Linked DNA regions of Mytilus edulis. The protein of the gene in region 1 binds, or shares a complex with, the protein of each later gene. Links are inferred from orthologs where the notes say so. Each region holds a gene or a part of one and is shown in the gene's direction. Other genes may lie near its edges.

Region 1 (8,327 bases):
GTCTGTCCGTCCGTCCGTCCAGGTTCTGGTTAAAGTTTTTGGTCAAGGTAGTTTTTGATGAAGTTGAAGTCCAATCAACTTGAAACTTAGTACATATGTTCCTTATAATATGATCTTTCTAATTTTAATGTCAAATTAAAGTTTTGACCCCAATTTCAAGGTCCACTGAACATAGAAAATGATAGTGCGAAGTCAGGTTAAAGTTTTGGTTAAAGTTTTTGGTCAAGGTAGTTTTTGATGAAGTTGATGTCACATCCACTTGAAACTTAGTACCCATGTTCCCTATGAAATGATCTTTCTAGTTTTAAAGCCAAATTTCACGGTCCACTGAATATGGAAAATGATAGTGCGAGTGGGGCATCCGTGTACTATCTGACTATGGACACATTCTTGTTTGTTAAATAATTTGTAATTTATGTGCTTTTTAAATATTGCATAAATTTGTACATTTTGTTTATACAAATAACTCAAATTCATCAAATGTTCATTAATGTAGAAAAATGTCATTTTTTGCTGTATATTGATTAAATTAAAAAAAAATGCACCATTTACGTTTTCATGAAAATTGGTACACGTAATCTTCTTGCATAATCAAACCAAATGTCATTTTAAAACAGAGGGGTCTATCAACTCTTTTTCCAGTTAAATCAGTTTGAATGATAAAAATCAGTCGAAAACTGTATCTTTTCTCGATAAGTCAACGTTTGATGTTGCAAAAATAACAATTTACATTAGCAACATCATTACCTCCCCTGTAACTGTATTGTATGCCCTTAACAGTCAGAGCTCAGACATAAACAAGTCTGAATCTGCTTTTGACTTATAGATGTCTAAATTTGTAAGTTTTAGGATTTGTCTCCCTTTAATGCAAGACAAAATACGACTTGAATAAGTCAAATATTGTTAAGCAAGAAATGATTGACCAGAATCAAAAAGTTGCAAATATCAACTCCTACAAGTCGATAAGTTACCAAAATTGGTCAACTTCAAGACCCACACATACTTATAAAAAGGTCATGCATCTAAATCAAATAATGACAACATTGAAAGCCAATGCCTTGTCTTCTAAAGAAAAATATGAATGAGAGTCTGAAAAATCGGGGATCATGTTAAGGTAGATCATAAGTAAATATTTTTTGAGACAGAATTTTCTTATACTTAGCCAGAATGAAGATTTTGATATGCTCTTTTCAAATATATAATAAAAAGGAGGGGTTACCGTGCTATTTTTCAAGCTATGAGTCGTTGAAAATTGCCTAAATTTGGTTAGATTGTTCATGGGAAAACACATTTGTGTGCATAAAAAAAAATCTATGAGATAGAATTTTGAAAAAAATTGTGAAAAGATAGGTTTTGTAATATGTTTTAAGAAAATAAAAAGAAAAAATGGTGTCACCGAACTTGTTTTCTTGCTACAAGTAAAAAGAAAAAAATTCCCTATCTGTCCAGTATAAATTTTTTACTAAAAGAGTTATCTTCCCTTAAATGGCTCGTTTGAAAAAAATGATTCTAAAAGCAAGAAAAATTATATTTGTTTAAATATTTTGGATTATACAATAAATTGCCAAGTTTTCTTTATATTATTAAACAGTCTAACCAATAAATTGCAAATCTGTCTTCAAATTTGCAGATTTAGGCAAATAACTAGACCGATTTTTTACTGTGATTGTTCAATCCAAGATGGCGGTATACCATGAATCTACCTTAATTAACCTTACAATGCAACCACCTGGATCCACCCTTAATGAGGTAAAACATCTGTGTTTAGTAAGAATGTTCAATTAGATAATTAAATATAGATAGATCAAGTCCTTGTGAACTCTCCGACAGGTTTTTACTGTCAAAGGTGGTGTAGTTTGGCCACCAAGTCAAGTTAAGTTTTTTCATCAACATAAATAGACCTAAACAAGTCTGTCATTTTGTGACTTAGATAAGTCTAAAATTGAAAACACATTTTTATAAAGAATACATGTTTTGACTTCTTTAAGTCAAAAACAGAAATAGACTTGTTTATGTCTGAGCTCTGACTGCTTAAAGGGGCACTGGCTGTCAAATTCATTGTAACCGATTTGACTCAAATTCTCATATTTGGTTTATAACAATGTAAAACATTTATCCAAACTATCAAAAGTCTAAAATAAACAGTTTACAGAGCATGGGGTAGATAATATATAGGTTCGTTTCGTGTGTATTTTAGTCCAGACGCCATCTAATTACCTATCGATTTGACCTCAGATGACCATATAAGCGATGTAAACAAAAATAAAGATACAAATAGATTAAACCAACACGTGCAATTGCATTTTTATAGGTCTGTTTGATTTTATTCTATAGATTAAAAATAGATGTTTCTCATTGTTTTTAACCATAAAAGAATGATTTTATGTGCATCGAATTAGTTATCAAATGATTTACCGTAGTTTCACTTTCATTGTTGACATTCTTTTTCTTTAAATAACCAGTACACGTACAATGCATGCGTTGTCAATCTCTAGCTAGGGGTTAACTTGAAGTTCACATGAATACCGGTTAGAATGATGATGACGTTTTCACTTGCAAGTGAATCAGTCAAAAATTATGTTTAATCGCTTATTTCAACAAAATTAAAGGAAATTGATTGTTAAAAGCAAATTATTATTTCATTATTTCAATTCGATTAATGATTGATCTAAAAAAAATCATACTTTATTTCTTTATATATATCGTAGCTAGTGCCCCTTTAACAGTCAGTTGTAAGAAAAACAAACTGACCTTAGATTATGACTACTTTGTTGTATGTGCATAACCATAATAACTGTAGATGGATAGTATGTACACTTTGTATACTCAGATGTTAAAAGTATGTCACTATTTACCACTTTGATAAGGTGGTACACTCTACTGTTCTTTCACATGGTGTCAAATAGACTGTGCTATTGTCACACATCAGTCACACTAATTACAATCATTGTTACTTACATGTTTGTTATTAGAAGAGAGATTCCATTGTGCTGAAGCTCTGTTCAGACCTAATTTTATTTGCTGATGGCTAAAGGATATATTATTCTTCATGGAGCATACTAATTACCGTATAAAAGTTTGATGAGAAAAAAAATGTTTTTTCATATTGATTATTGGCCCTGAGGGGGTTCTACGCTTGAAAAAATGCAGATAAGGGATAAATGTTAAAATAATTTGCTTTTATATAGAAAAAGATATATGTGAAAAAAAGTGGTTTTGAACAAATTGTAATATTATGATTATTGCTTATTAACATGATTATAATGTTAAACAGAATATAGATAAAACATACAAGTCACAACCTGTTAAAGTAAAAACTACATTAACTAGACAAGTACGGTACTATTGGAAATTCACATTTCAAATTTGCTGAGTGATATTTGAAGGGGAAATTTTTTCATGATAATGAAGTATAAAAAAATTAGAAAAGCAAACAGAAAAGTGAATATTGGAGAAATTATGATTGAGAAAATAATAGTAATATTATTTTTTACTAAGCATTCACAGCTTTATAATGTATAAACAGGTTGGAGACAAAAGATAAGCATATGCTACAGAGAATATTAGTGAAAAATTAAAAAGTTAATAGATTGTATTTAATATGATATGAACAACATAAAATAAAAACTGAGAATGTAACAGGTGAATTTATAGGATAATCAACCATCTATCTATTTCATGCTTTCCTTATAAAGGCGGTTGTTTTAATGGATATTAAAATTCATCAAATGGAAGAAATTATAAAATGATGCTGAAAGGTGATGGTACAGCATGTTTATAAAGATGGCTGATCAACATGATCAAATTGGAATGAACCATAATTTGTGTTTCTTCTAGATAATAGAATAGCAGAAGGATTTGAATTGTGACTTAACTTGAGTTGTCTCAAGTAGAATTGTTTGTTAAACAAGTTTTACTCTGCTTAGAAGTTGGACCATGGTTACATGAACGATATGGAACATTGTGTTATAACACTACCATGACTAGCTAGCTCATGGAATATATGTTCTTTCTATACATTTATACAATCATGTTTTGATATTTGAAAAGGAGATATTTTATTATTTGTTACATAAACGTGGATTTAAATAATTATCAGAAAATTATACTTTATAATTATATACATGTCATATATATTTACATGCAAATATGCATTTTTAGGATAGGATTATGTAAACAAATTTGATGAGATGTTTAGCTAATTATTTAGTGAAACATGATTATGTTTTATAACATGATACATGTTATCTCAAAAACTTGTACATGTTGTATATGAAATTAAAAATAGGACTATAGTTTAGGGGAAATGAAATGAATTCTCAAATGTGGAATGCTTTTTACCCTTATCAACCAATACATGCAGGAAAAGTTAATTAAACAATATGCTTAAAATGTGTACAATTCCCAGTCTCTGTATTACTCTATAAATATTGGATTTGCTGGATTAATTCAAATGACATGGAATAGAAAATGTTCAATATAAAACCTGTTTTATGTGGATTTACTACTTAATGTTGACTTACAACAAAAAACCTGCTTTGTCACTAATTCTATTTAACAATAGGAACAAACATATCATATGGTACTTCCAATAGTTAATAGCTTATTAGGTTTTCCAATATTCTTGGTTTTATTTAATGGGATATTAAGTGAAGTATAATTTTACACTGGATATGGTTTGTTTACTTTGTACATGATGTTAAATTTATGTGATTCATGAATAAAGAAGAATCAGCAACATGGCCACTGGTCACTTCATCTGACCAATCAGAAATCAGCTCGCAAGATGAAGATGAAAAACAAAATTATAAACTTTTAAAGAGAACGGGATCAAATGACTCTGTATGTGAAATTAATAATAGTAAGGAATATAAGAAACTGAAGCAGTTTAGGAAAACCAATAGAAAGAAAAAATCCAGGAGTAGATGTTGTGTGGGCTGTCTTTGTTGCTTCAAGGGAAATACAGGTAAATCATATCAAAACTCACATGCTAATGGACAGGTAAATCATATCAACATTCACATGTTAATAGACAGGAAAATCATATCAACACTCACATGCTTATGGACAGGTAAATCTTATTAACACTTATATGTCAATAGACAGGTAAATCATATCAACACTTACATGCTAATAGACAGGTAAATCTAAGAATAGATGTTGTGTGGACTGTCTTTACTGCTTCAAAGGAAAGACAGGTAAATCTTATCAACAGGCACACACTTATAGACAGGTAAATCATATTAACGTTATCATACTTATGGACAGGTAAATCCTATCAAACTCACATGCTTATAGACAGGTAAATCATATCAACACCTACATGCTAATAGACAGGTAAATCATATCAACACTAACAACACTAACATGAAATAGTCGGGTAAATCATAATAACACTCACATGAAATAGACGGGTAAATCATATCAACATTCACATGCTTATGGATAAGTTAATCATATACACCCTCACATGTTAATAGACAGGTAAATCTTATTATCACTCAGATGATAATAGACAGGTAAATCATATCATCACTCACATGCTAATAGACAAGTTAATCATATCATCACTCACATGCTAATAGACAGGTAAATCATATCATCACTCACATGATAATAGACAGGTAAATCATATCAACACTTGCATGCTAATAGACAGGTAAATCATATCATCACTCACATGATAATAGACAGGTAAATCATATCAAAACTCACATGCTAATAGACAAGTAAATCATATCATCACTCACATGTTAATAGACAGGTAAATCATATCAATACTCACATACTAATAGACAAGTAAATCATATCATCACTCACATGTTAATAGACAGGTAAATCATATCAAAACTCACATGTTAATAGACAGGTAAATCATATCAAAACTCACATGTTAATAGACAGGTAAATCATATCAAAACTCACATGCTAATAGACAGGTAAATCATATCAATACTCACATACTAATAGACAAGTTAATCATATCATCACTCACATGTTAATAGACAGGTAAATCATATCATCACTCACATGATAATAGACAGGTAAATCATATCATCACTCGGATGATAATAGACAGGTAAATCATATCAACACTTGCATGCTAATAGACAGGTAAATCATATCATCACTCACATGATAATAGACAGGTAAATCATATCAAAACTCACATGCTAATAGACAAGTAAATCATATCATCACTCACATGTTAATAGCCAGGTAAATCATATCATCACTCACATGATAATAGACAGGTAAATCATATCAAAACTCACATGCTAATAGACAAGTTAATCATATCATCACTAACATGCTAATAGCCAGGTAAATCATATCATCACTCACATGTTAATAGCCAGGTAAATCATATCATCACTCACATGATAATAGACAGGTAAATCATATCAAAACTCACATGCTAATAGACAAGTTAATCATATCATCACTAACATGCTAATAGCCAGGTAAATCATATCATCACTCACATGTTAATAGACAGGTAAATCATATCATCACTCGGATGATAATAGACAGGTAAATCATATCATCACTCACATGTTAATAGACAGGTAAATCATATCAATACTCACATACTAATAGATAGGTTAATCATATCATCACTCACATGTTAATAGACAGGTAAATCATATCAATACTCACATACTAATAGACAAGTTAATCATATCATCACTCACATGATAATAGACAGGTAAATCATATCATCACTCATATGATAATAGACAGGTAAATCATATCAAAACTCACATGCTAATAGACAAGTAAATCATATCAACACTCAAATGATACTTCATTATGTCTCCCTTACAATTTAATGAGAAAAAGATATAGTTTGGAAGTTCATACTTTGAACTAGAAAGAGAACCAAAAATTAATGCCAAATTAAAGTTTGACCCCAAAATCATGGTCCACTGACCATAGAAAAATGATAGTGCAAGTGGCGCATCCGTATACTACGGACAGGTTCTTGTTTCTGTAAAGCACTTACTGGCATTTATTGCAAATCCTAATTTCATATGAACACCTTCAAAAGTATTCTCTGAAAGAAACTCTATTGATTCAGAAAAAATAGGAAAAAATGGAAATAGTAATTGAATTTCATTTAAGATGGAGGAAGTACTATATATACTACAATATGTTAGTATTTTATGTCCTTAGACCTATAGTGAAGTGTATATTACTTTATAATTATCTGTAAACGACCAGTATTGATCTATTATGCTATATTGTTAATGTAGAAAATAGGCAGATTGATGGATGGAACCTTTAGTGAAATAAATTATTGAGAGTATGGAAACTTGTCTGTAAATAGTACAGCAACTATAACCTGAAGGAAAAAACATTGGAAAGGATCACATTGGCTTTTAAAGTTGAAATGATCCAGTCTAGTCCTAGGTTCCCCATGAGTTAATGTATTTACATATTTTCTGGCACATTGAACCTCAAGAATTTCTAAACCTAAATATTGACCTACTGGCTGTTAGTCTCAACTTAAGCATTGAGCATGAAGGCTAACACAGCCTGTTTGACCTTATATTCTTCTGTGGACTGTATTAAAGTCTTTCCCATTATAAGGCCTCATATGTCTACAAGGCATTTAAATTTATCTTTGGGCCATTACTTTAAGACATGAGACTATTATTGATCTTGCGGAAATATTGTCTGTAGTGTAATATAAAAAAGAAGATGTGGTATGATTGCCAATGAGACAACTTTCCACAAAAGACCAAAATGACACAGACATTAACAAATATAGGTCACCGTACGGCCTTCAACAATTAGCAAAGCCCATACTATTCACCACAGATATTAAACTTTCTGTTAATTTGGGTTCCACAAGGCTGACATAGAAATGTCATCTGTCCATCTGTTAAAATTGAAAAACATTGTGTATATAAAGAAAAATTGTTTATCACTTAGAAAAATACGATTAAATAAAATATATTGTAAATGATAAATTTTGAACTAGTTACTGACACCACCACACATACCTCAATAGAATGTCACAAATGGATCATGTTGATTGGTTGTCTTTAATAATTTTATGAGTTATTGTAGTTGACATGCAAAGTTTAGTAGGATAAATATAAAAATTACTGTACAGATATTTTAAATTGCATACACTCATCTGCATCTGCAAAAATATTATCATCTCATGGAGGCTAATTAAATTCTAAATTTGTTTTTCATCTGCAAACATATTTTGTGTACAATATTGAAATATGATAATTCTACAGTGAATTATGTCATAGTAAAACTACAGGAAAGTTTGACTATCGATTGAATGTGCATCTTTTCAGTGAAATATT
Region 2 (8,810 bases), on another chromosome or scaffold:
TTTACATAACTCAGCAATACAAAAATCCTTACTCCGCCTATATACATGTAGACTTAAGAGACATTATATGAACGATAAACAAATCAAAAAAATACATTAACTAGATATATTTCTCATTTCTTAAGCTATTTTTTTTTTTATATTCGTTATTAATGAGTTTGCCTTTTAATCTGTATTTTTCATCACCATAATAGAACTAGAGAAACGATGATCTGACACCCAACCAATAACACCAAAAAATCGCATATATACAACTCAAAATGAAAAAATAATTTTAATCTCATGGTCAGCCCCCCTGCTCCCCCAGACATGAAGATTCTTGATCCGCCCTTGCCATATTATTCTTCATTTTTTTTTTCTCCATTTGTTATTTTTGGACCATTTTCAGAATTTTTTAATCATTTTACTATACTTGCGGAAAATTAATACTTTTATCGATCCTTATGAAGGTAAAACCAGAAAAGTACAATCGGGAGTCGGTCGCCTAAACAAACTCTTTTATGGTCGGTCCGTGTAACACTTATCAGTACTAATTTATTTGTTTTTAATTATAAAAAATACCATTATTTCCAAAATTTTCGTAATCAGTTTGAAATTTTCACCAAATGACTAAAATTTTTAAACCACTAAAATCATTTAAAAATTGTATTAGTTTAGATATTTCATCAAACTTTCAAAGTACTATACTTAACATGCAGTTTTAATTATTTCGCTTTTTGGAAGTTTGATTATTTTCCAGATACATGTATTAAAAATAGAAAAGGGGCGAAAAGAGAACATGCATATACCAATGATGCATTGATTACTTCGTGAAAATTCTATGACATCACTACATACACGGGCATAACGAACGAGTTGTGATATATATATATATATATATATATATATATACAACTCGTCTAAACATCAACCCAACAATGTTAGATCTGTAAATTTGCTTTCGCAAATTTTTGGTTCTTCCCTCGCCGGGATTCGAACCCATGCTACTGTGATATCGTGACACCAAATCGCCTGCACTGCAGCCGTCCCGCTAGACCACGCGACCACCTGGGCTCTCAAAAAAAGAGCTTTCGCTGGCCGTGTGTTACCTTTCCACGTCAGTTTTAATCTAGCGGCGTACTGCAGTACATGATATATAAGGCATGAAGATGTTATTGTTACAGATCAGCTAAATTATCTATAGTAAAGGATCCTACAAATGAATGTAAGATACAGTCACAGAAAATAATTATATTTATAAGTACGTCTGAGTCAGTGACAACCCTACAACAGATGTATCCATCGGATCGCCATCAATGATGGTGATACATGGCTGTGTACATAATGTATATACAACTCGTCTAAACATCAACCCAACAATGTTAGATCTGTAAATTTGCTTTCGCAAATTTTTGGTTCTTCCCTCGCCGGGATTCGAACCCATGCTACTGTGATATCGTGACACCAAATCGCCTGCACTGCAGCCGTCCCGCTAGACCACGCGACCACCTGGGCTCTCAAAAAAAGAGCTTTCGCTGGCCGTGTGTTACCTTTCCACGTCAGTTTTAATCTAGCGGCGTACTGCAGTACATGATATATAAGGCATGAAGATGTTATTGTTACAGATCAGCTAAATTATCTATAGTAAAGGATCCTACAAATGAATGTAAGATACAGTCACAGAAAATAATTATATTTATAAGTACGTCTGAGTCAGTGACAACCCTACAACAGATGTATCCATCGGATCGCCATCAATGATGGTGATACATGGCTGTGTACATAATGTATATACAACTCGTCTAAACATCAACCCAACAATGTTAGATCTGTAAATTTGCTTTCGCAAATTTTTGGTTCTTCCCTCGCCGGGATTCGAACCCATGCTACTGTGATATCGTGACACCAAATCGCCTGCACTGCAGCCGTCCCGCTAGACCACGCGACCACCTGGGCTCTCAAAAAAAGAGCCAGCGAAAGCTCTTTTTTTGAGAGCCCAGGTGGTCGCGTGGTCTAGCGGGACGGCTGCAGTGCAGGCGATTTGGTGTCACGATATCACAGTAGCATGGGTTCGAATCCCGGCGAGGGAAGAACCAAAAATTTGCGAAAGCAAATTTACAGATCTAACATTGTTGGGTTGATGTTTAGACGAGTTGTATATACATTATGTACACAGCCATGTATCACCATCATTGATGGCGATCCGATGGATACATCTGTTGTAGGGTTGTCACTGACTCAGACGTACTTATAAATATAATTATTTTCTGTGACTGTATCTTACATTCATTTGTAGGATCCTTTACTATAGATAATTTAGCTGATCTGTAACAATAACATCTTCATGCCTTATATATCATGTACTGCAGTACGCCGCTAGATTAAAACTGACGTGGAAAGGTAACACACGGCCAGCGAAAGCTCTTTTTTTGAGAGCCCAGGTGGTCGCGTGGTCTAGCGGGACGGCTGCAGTGCAGGCGATTTGGTGTCACGATATCACAGTAGCATGGGTTCGAATCCCGGCGAGGGAAGAACCAAAAATTTGCGAAAGCAAATTTACAGATCTAACATTGTTGGGTTGATGTTTAGACGAGTTGTATATACATTATGTACACAGCCATGTATCACCATCATTGATGGCGATCCGATGGATACATCTGTTGTAGGGTTGTCACTGACTCAGACGTACTTATATATATATATATATATATATATATATATATATATAAAAGTCTATAAAAAGGACCAACCAGCAAATTTACTATGTACCGGATCGTCTAGAATAGGCGATACTATGCAGATAAGGAAAAAATTATATCAGTCTAAAGATTTGCACAACGGTACTGATATAAGGTGTTATTAAACGAAAATGTTGTTATAAAATCGTGTTGACAAATATTTCGGCTCAACAAATGGCCTTCTTCTTGTGTCACAAGTTTTAACAATACTGATACATAATGTATAAGGTGTGAAAATAGATCAGGTGATAATACAGGTAAGTTTTGGTCGATTGATTTTAATCCTGAATATCATAATTTAAACAAAACACTATAAATCAATATACGTGACTGTGTATATTAACAATAAAAATAAGTGAAAACAAAACTGTTAGTATTTCTTATTGATGCCGTTTGGGTGATGTACATTAAGTTCCTTTATCCAAAAGCTTTCCCGAACCTGTCGCTGTGCATCACTCCAGTGAATGTTCTGTTCAATCACTAGAATTTTCATGCGGTTAAAGTCATCAAGTTTGTGATCTGACTGTCTGAAGTGCTGAGAGACTGGAAGAAGTGGCTTCTTAGATATATCACTCCTATGGCCATTGAGGCGTTTGTGGAAAGGCTGCTTTGATTCACCAACATATTGGAGGCCACAAACCGAACATTCTAGTATGTAAATAACATTCATACTTTTGCAGGTAACATTGCAAAATATCTTATAGTTATTTTCGGTTGCCTTACTGTGAAATGTTGACGAATGCTGCATCTGTAAACAGCATTTGCAGCGTTTTTCTCCACACGAACGACATTCTCCAGAAGTACTTCTATTATCAGACACTTCAGCCCGCACTAGTAGGTTCCGTAGACTACTAGGTTGCCTAAAAGCTATCATTGGAGGCTCAGGGAAAATCTTGGACAGTTTGGAATTCTTTTCAACTGATTTCCAATGCTCACGAATGACACCAAAGCTGTTTTTGAGAGATGGGTGATAAGTTAGAACACATGGAGTCCTTTTGCTTTTCTTTTTAACTTTGTATTCCAATAGTTCACTCCTCGGAATTGACTCCGCTTTCTGAAAGCTTTTTTTGATATTTCTGTGTTTGTAGCCCCTTTTCTTCAAGCGAGTTTCAAGTTTACGCAGTTGTCTTTTAGTTGTTTCTGTGTTGGAGCATATTCGCTTGACTCTAAGTGCCTGACTGTATGGAATGCTCTTGGTAAGATGAGCAGGATGGCAACTTTTAGGGGACAAATATTGATGAGTGTCAGTAGGCTTAGAATATAAATCTGTAGATATGATGCCCTCTGTGAGCGAACTTGAAGTATCGAGGAAGGCGATTTTGGATTTAGACTTCTCATGAGTAAATTTGATACTTGGATGTATGTTGTTGGCATGAGTGATAAAAGTGTCTAAATCCTCGTCGCTTTTATTCCATTTCATATCCACATCATCTATAAATCTAAACCAGGAAAGCGGTTTTTCGATGGAAGTTTCAAGGAGTTGTTTCTCTAATTTGCCCATAAATATGTTGGCATATGACGGAGCCATTTTGGTGCCCATGGCAGTTCCATTTACTTGCAAATAATGATCTCCATCAAAAGTGAAGTTGTTTTTCTTAAGTACCAGCGTGAGCATTTTGACCAGGCATTCAGTAGGTGGATATTTCACTGGTCTGGAATTCCAAACTTCTTTGCATGCATCGATGCCATCTGCATGTGGAATATTAGTGTAGAGGGAGGTAACATCCATATATACATCGTATGATATAAAGCAAAAGGTACATCGCCGACTAAAAAAGAAAGGAAAATTAACAATAGGGAATGAACAATCGTCTCTTTTGTGGTAAATTTTAATGTGGAGTTTCCCTTTCGAAATTGAAATGTCTAAATCTATGTTAGATTTATTTAAAATAAAGTTCATTTGGGTAAATTTCTGTTGTACATTAGAGAACTCTGGATTATTTAACGAAACAATATATCATCAAGATAACGGTAGGTATTGTTGAATATATCAACCAAATGTAACAATGCCGTGTCTTTACTGAGATTGGTCATACACTGTGATTCATAGCAATACAGGAATAAATCTGCTATTAAAGGGACACAATAAATGCCCATAATGATACCTTACCTGTCGACACATTTTATCGCCGAACGTACATATATGTAGGTTAGGGGGAAATTTAAAGCTTCAATCAAATCTTCACATTTCCATTATGTGTATCTAGCATACTTTCCTTTTTCGTTACAGAAAAAAAGGCTTTCAACAAGTTATATAATAAATTTGCAATGCGATTTTAATAGACCATTCAATTAAATATCGGAAAACTTTTTCTTGATAAGATTGTGTTGAAGTGTAGTGTATAGAGTAGAAAATTCATAATTGTCAACAGAATTAAAAGAACCATCAAATGTATATATTTTATCAGAGACATATAATACATGTATTATAGATCATTATATATATGTCTTTGATTTTAATCATTATCGAACACCTCTAAAAAAAATCTACAAAAATATTAAAAACCATTATTTTCATAATCTGTATTACAAAAGTAGATAACAAGTCCTTTGATAGTAGTAAGAGGCAAATAACCGTAAAAAGCAAGCCCAATCTTTTGTTTCCTCAGACGGAATGTTATCCAAAAAGAACTTTGAAATTTCCCACCCTGTAAGTACAGTAATCACGTGATACGATGGTTGTCAAAATGGCGGCTGGTCTGCCAAGATCTGGGCTGTTCGAAGTATATATTCGACAGCAATGGTGCAGAGTTTACGTTACTTTAAATGAGGATTCGTTGACTTTAACACTTGATGAAAATCCAGAGTTAGCAAATAGCACTCTTGGATCATCAGATGCACCTAGCACACTTCCTAAAACGGACCAGTTACCAGACAGTCTCGCCGGGCAAAAACGACTTGTGCGAGTGGTTAAAGAGGAACAGAATGGCCTTGGAATCAGTATTAAAGGTGGAAAAGAGAATAAAATGCCAATTTTAATAAGTAAAATCTTCAAAGGAATGGCGGCAGACAAAACTGAAAAGCTTTATGTAGGAGATGCTATTTTGTCTGTAAATGGTGAAGATCTAAGGGAAGCAACTCATGATGATGCTGTAAAAGCATTGAAAAAGGCAAAAAAAGTTGTAGATATAGAAGGTAATCAAATTATCATATTATAGTCTAGATGCGTAACCGTAGCTCTTAGGTCCTTATGTTGGTCCGCAAATAGTAAAAAAATAACATAAGGACCTAAGAGCTACGGTTCCGCAGCTAATTATAGTCTTATAACGCATCCAAGAGTCGCATTTATTTTTATAGAAATAGAATAATCAGGCTCAGATGCGTCCCACTGGTATCGGGTTCGTTCGCCCTGATTACATCATGTACATGTTCGTCCTAGGTTCGTTCGCACTGAGTTTGTTCGCCCTGGGTTCATTCGCCCTATATTCATTTATGATACATGTATGTATATGTTACATTAACGAACGAAATATACACATGTATATAGATATATATATTGAAAATGTATATCTATTAAAAGTTAAATACAGAATATTTACCAAATTTATATTAATCAAGGATTTGTATAGTACATACAAATCCTTGTGTTAATTAAATAAAATTCTTGGCTGCATTTTTACACTTTATTAACTTTTAATTACTGTTCATTGAATTTTGATTGCTGATAATGTATCATTTGAAATCTTTGATATCACCGATTGTTATATGAATTGTCCTTGATGGATTAATAATGAAAACAACATTTTTCTCAAATAAAATAGTCAGCTTGGATGGGTTAAAACACTGATGACAAGTGATGTACAGCAGCCAGTGTGACTGTGTTTTTGGTATTTGTTTCACAAATAATAATTCAAATTAGTGCTTTTAAATATTCGATTAGGAAATAAATGTGTGCGAAGTACAGTTCGGAATTGATCTTGTTATATTAAACTGTTACTGAATATTTTCAAATTGTTAAAATGTATCAATAAAGTTAAATATATGTGTTCCAGACCGTATGAGTATTTGGACCGTACGCGTACGGTCTGGACCGTATGCGTACTTTTTCAAAAAAACTCATACGGTCGGACCGTACGCGTACGGTCTGACTAATATTAAAAAGTTGGTGAAGTTTATTAGTTACAAATGCATATAGCAGATCAACATAACTTAACTCAAATTAATCTAAAAAAGTTCAATTGTAATCGAAACAAAAACTTTATATTTTAACTTTTTTTAAATTCACGCTAATTAAATCTGTTAATCTCTTGTATTAAGCATGTCGATCAGTAATACATTAATTGAATTATGATCACTGAAATTGAAGATATCGGAAGTAAACATAATGTGGGAGGACAATTGTTTTAGAATATTTAGCAACTTTACCAAAAAAAGCAAAATGCAAAGGAACATGCATGAACTGCATACATGAAAATGTAAAAAATATTACGTTACTTGAATTGTGTCACCTTGGGAGAGAGTACCAAAATGGGATTCAGATAAAATTAAACAATTACTTAATTTCAATTGTTCGTTTGTTCATTTTATCTATCTAATTGTAATAAATTATCAATAACAATTTGTAAAACTAAAAATAAAGATTGTGATAAATGCTTGTTTCCATTTAACCCATATGATCAAATAACATGTATGGTCAGCTCGTACTGGACCGTACGCGTATACTCATACGGTCCGACCGTACGCGTATGGTCGGACCGTACGAGTATACGTATACGGTCCGGACCGTACGCGTACGGTCCAAATACTCATATGGTCTGGAACATAGACATAGTCTTCAGTTGTTTTATGTCAAATACTTTGTAGTCTTTGAATTCACAGAAACTTATCCTCGTAGCAGCAAGACAACAACTTAGTCTTCAGTTGTTTTACTTTTAAAAATACGATGTAGTGCTGAAATTCAGAGAAATTTATTTCCTTATAGCAGTACCACAGATGACAATATACATCATAAATAAATATTCGGTGAATTTAAACTTCAACATATATTCAATTACATACAAATAATTTAGTCTTCAGTTGTTTTACATTTAAAATACCTTGAAGTCACAATATCTTGTAGTCCTGAAATGTACAGAAACTTATAACCTGGTAGCAGCTAGCTATAAACAAAATGATACATCGTAATTATTCGTCCAAATTGTAGACTGACTTCAACACATTCAATTATATAGACACAACGCAACACTCTACTAAAAAATAAAATCAGGGCGAACAGACTTGGGGCAAACAGGTATTAGGGCAAACAGAAACTAGGGCGAACCAGAATCAGGGCGGACGGACCCAGAATCCGTCCCACCCAGGGTGCCTCTAGTCATGCTAGTGGCGGATCCAGAAATTTTCTTATTAGGGGGCCCACTGTGGCTGCCTGCTTTTGATTTCATCGTTGGGTCATTATTAATAAATATATGATACTGAAACGGACATGAATTAAAAAAAGTATTTGCCATTATCCTAATAGTTTCTGATAATATCAATAAAATATGTCATTCAAACTATAGTTTTAAAGTGATGCCAGCTAGTGTATCATGTTTATCAAACTTATAATCTGTCACTTCAAAATTGTTATAATCCAATTTATTTCATCACAGAAGTGTACAGAATGCAAACCAGGTTATAAGAAATGGGGTCGATAGCAATCCAAAATTCTGAAACTATTATAAAACACGTCACATCAAATTGAAACACCATTTTTTGTCATTTTACATGATAATATCTATCTACTTTATGACAAAAATGTATTTATTTACGATTAGAAATGTGTGGTTAATTTATTGAGCAGTTCCGATAGTTTTTCAGTCTGAAGCTACCAAAATCTATAAATCTCTTGAAGTCTCACAGTCTTAAACATCATGAACATTGCATGGTTAAAGAGATTTAAAAAAAAAAAATCAAATATTATTTTATCTTGGTAGTCACATAGTAGTCTACAATTATATAGGAAAAAATTAAAGTAAAGTATTTGCTTCAGTTTATTTATCACGAATCATAAGTATTAAATGCAACTTTAAGTGCTGTTTAATCAATTGTAACATCACTTTCATGACTTTGTCTGTTAAGCAAAGAAAAAAAAAAAATATATATATATATACAGTA

The links.
Region 2: dystrobrevin beta-like (region 1) and beta-1-syntrophin-like share a complex: the UniProt entries of both Caenorhabditis elegans proteins name them as parts of the dystrophin glycoprotein complex. The link is inferred for Mytilus edulis from reciprocal best matches to the Caenorhabditis elegans genes dyb-1 and stn-1.

What each region holds. Positions count from the first base shown.
Region 1 is NC_092344.1:122,599,278-122,607,604, forward strand, and holds the start of dystrobrevin beta-like, read left to right. Parts: upstream 1-4,643; 5' UTR 4,644-4,716; coding exon 4,717-4,966; intron 4,967-8,327. UniProt on the Caenorhabditis elegans protein: Plays a role in cholinergic transmission and as a functional partner of dystrophin (dys-1), necessary for muscle maintenance. Required for localization of ctn-1 near dense bodies in muscle cells.
Region 2 is NC_092348.1:91,641,497-91,650,306, forward strand, and holds the start of beta-1-syntrophin-like, read left to right. Parts: upstream 1-5,374; 5' UTR 5,375-5,392; coding exon 5,393-5,852; intron 5,853-8,810. Other genes in the region: uncharacterized protein, read right to left, coding at 3,441-4,446. UniProt on the Caenorhabditis elegans protein: Adapter protein that binds to and probably organizes the subcellular localization of a variety of membrane proteins. May link various receptors to the actin cytoskeleton and the dystrophin glycoprotein complex (DGC).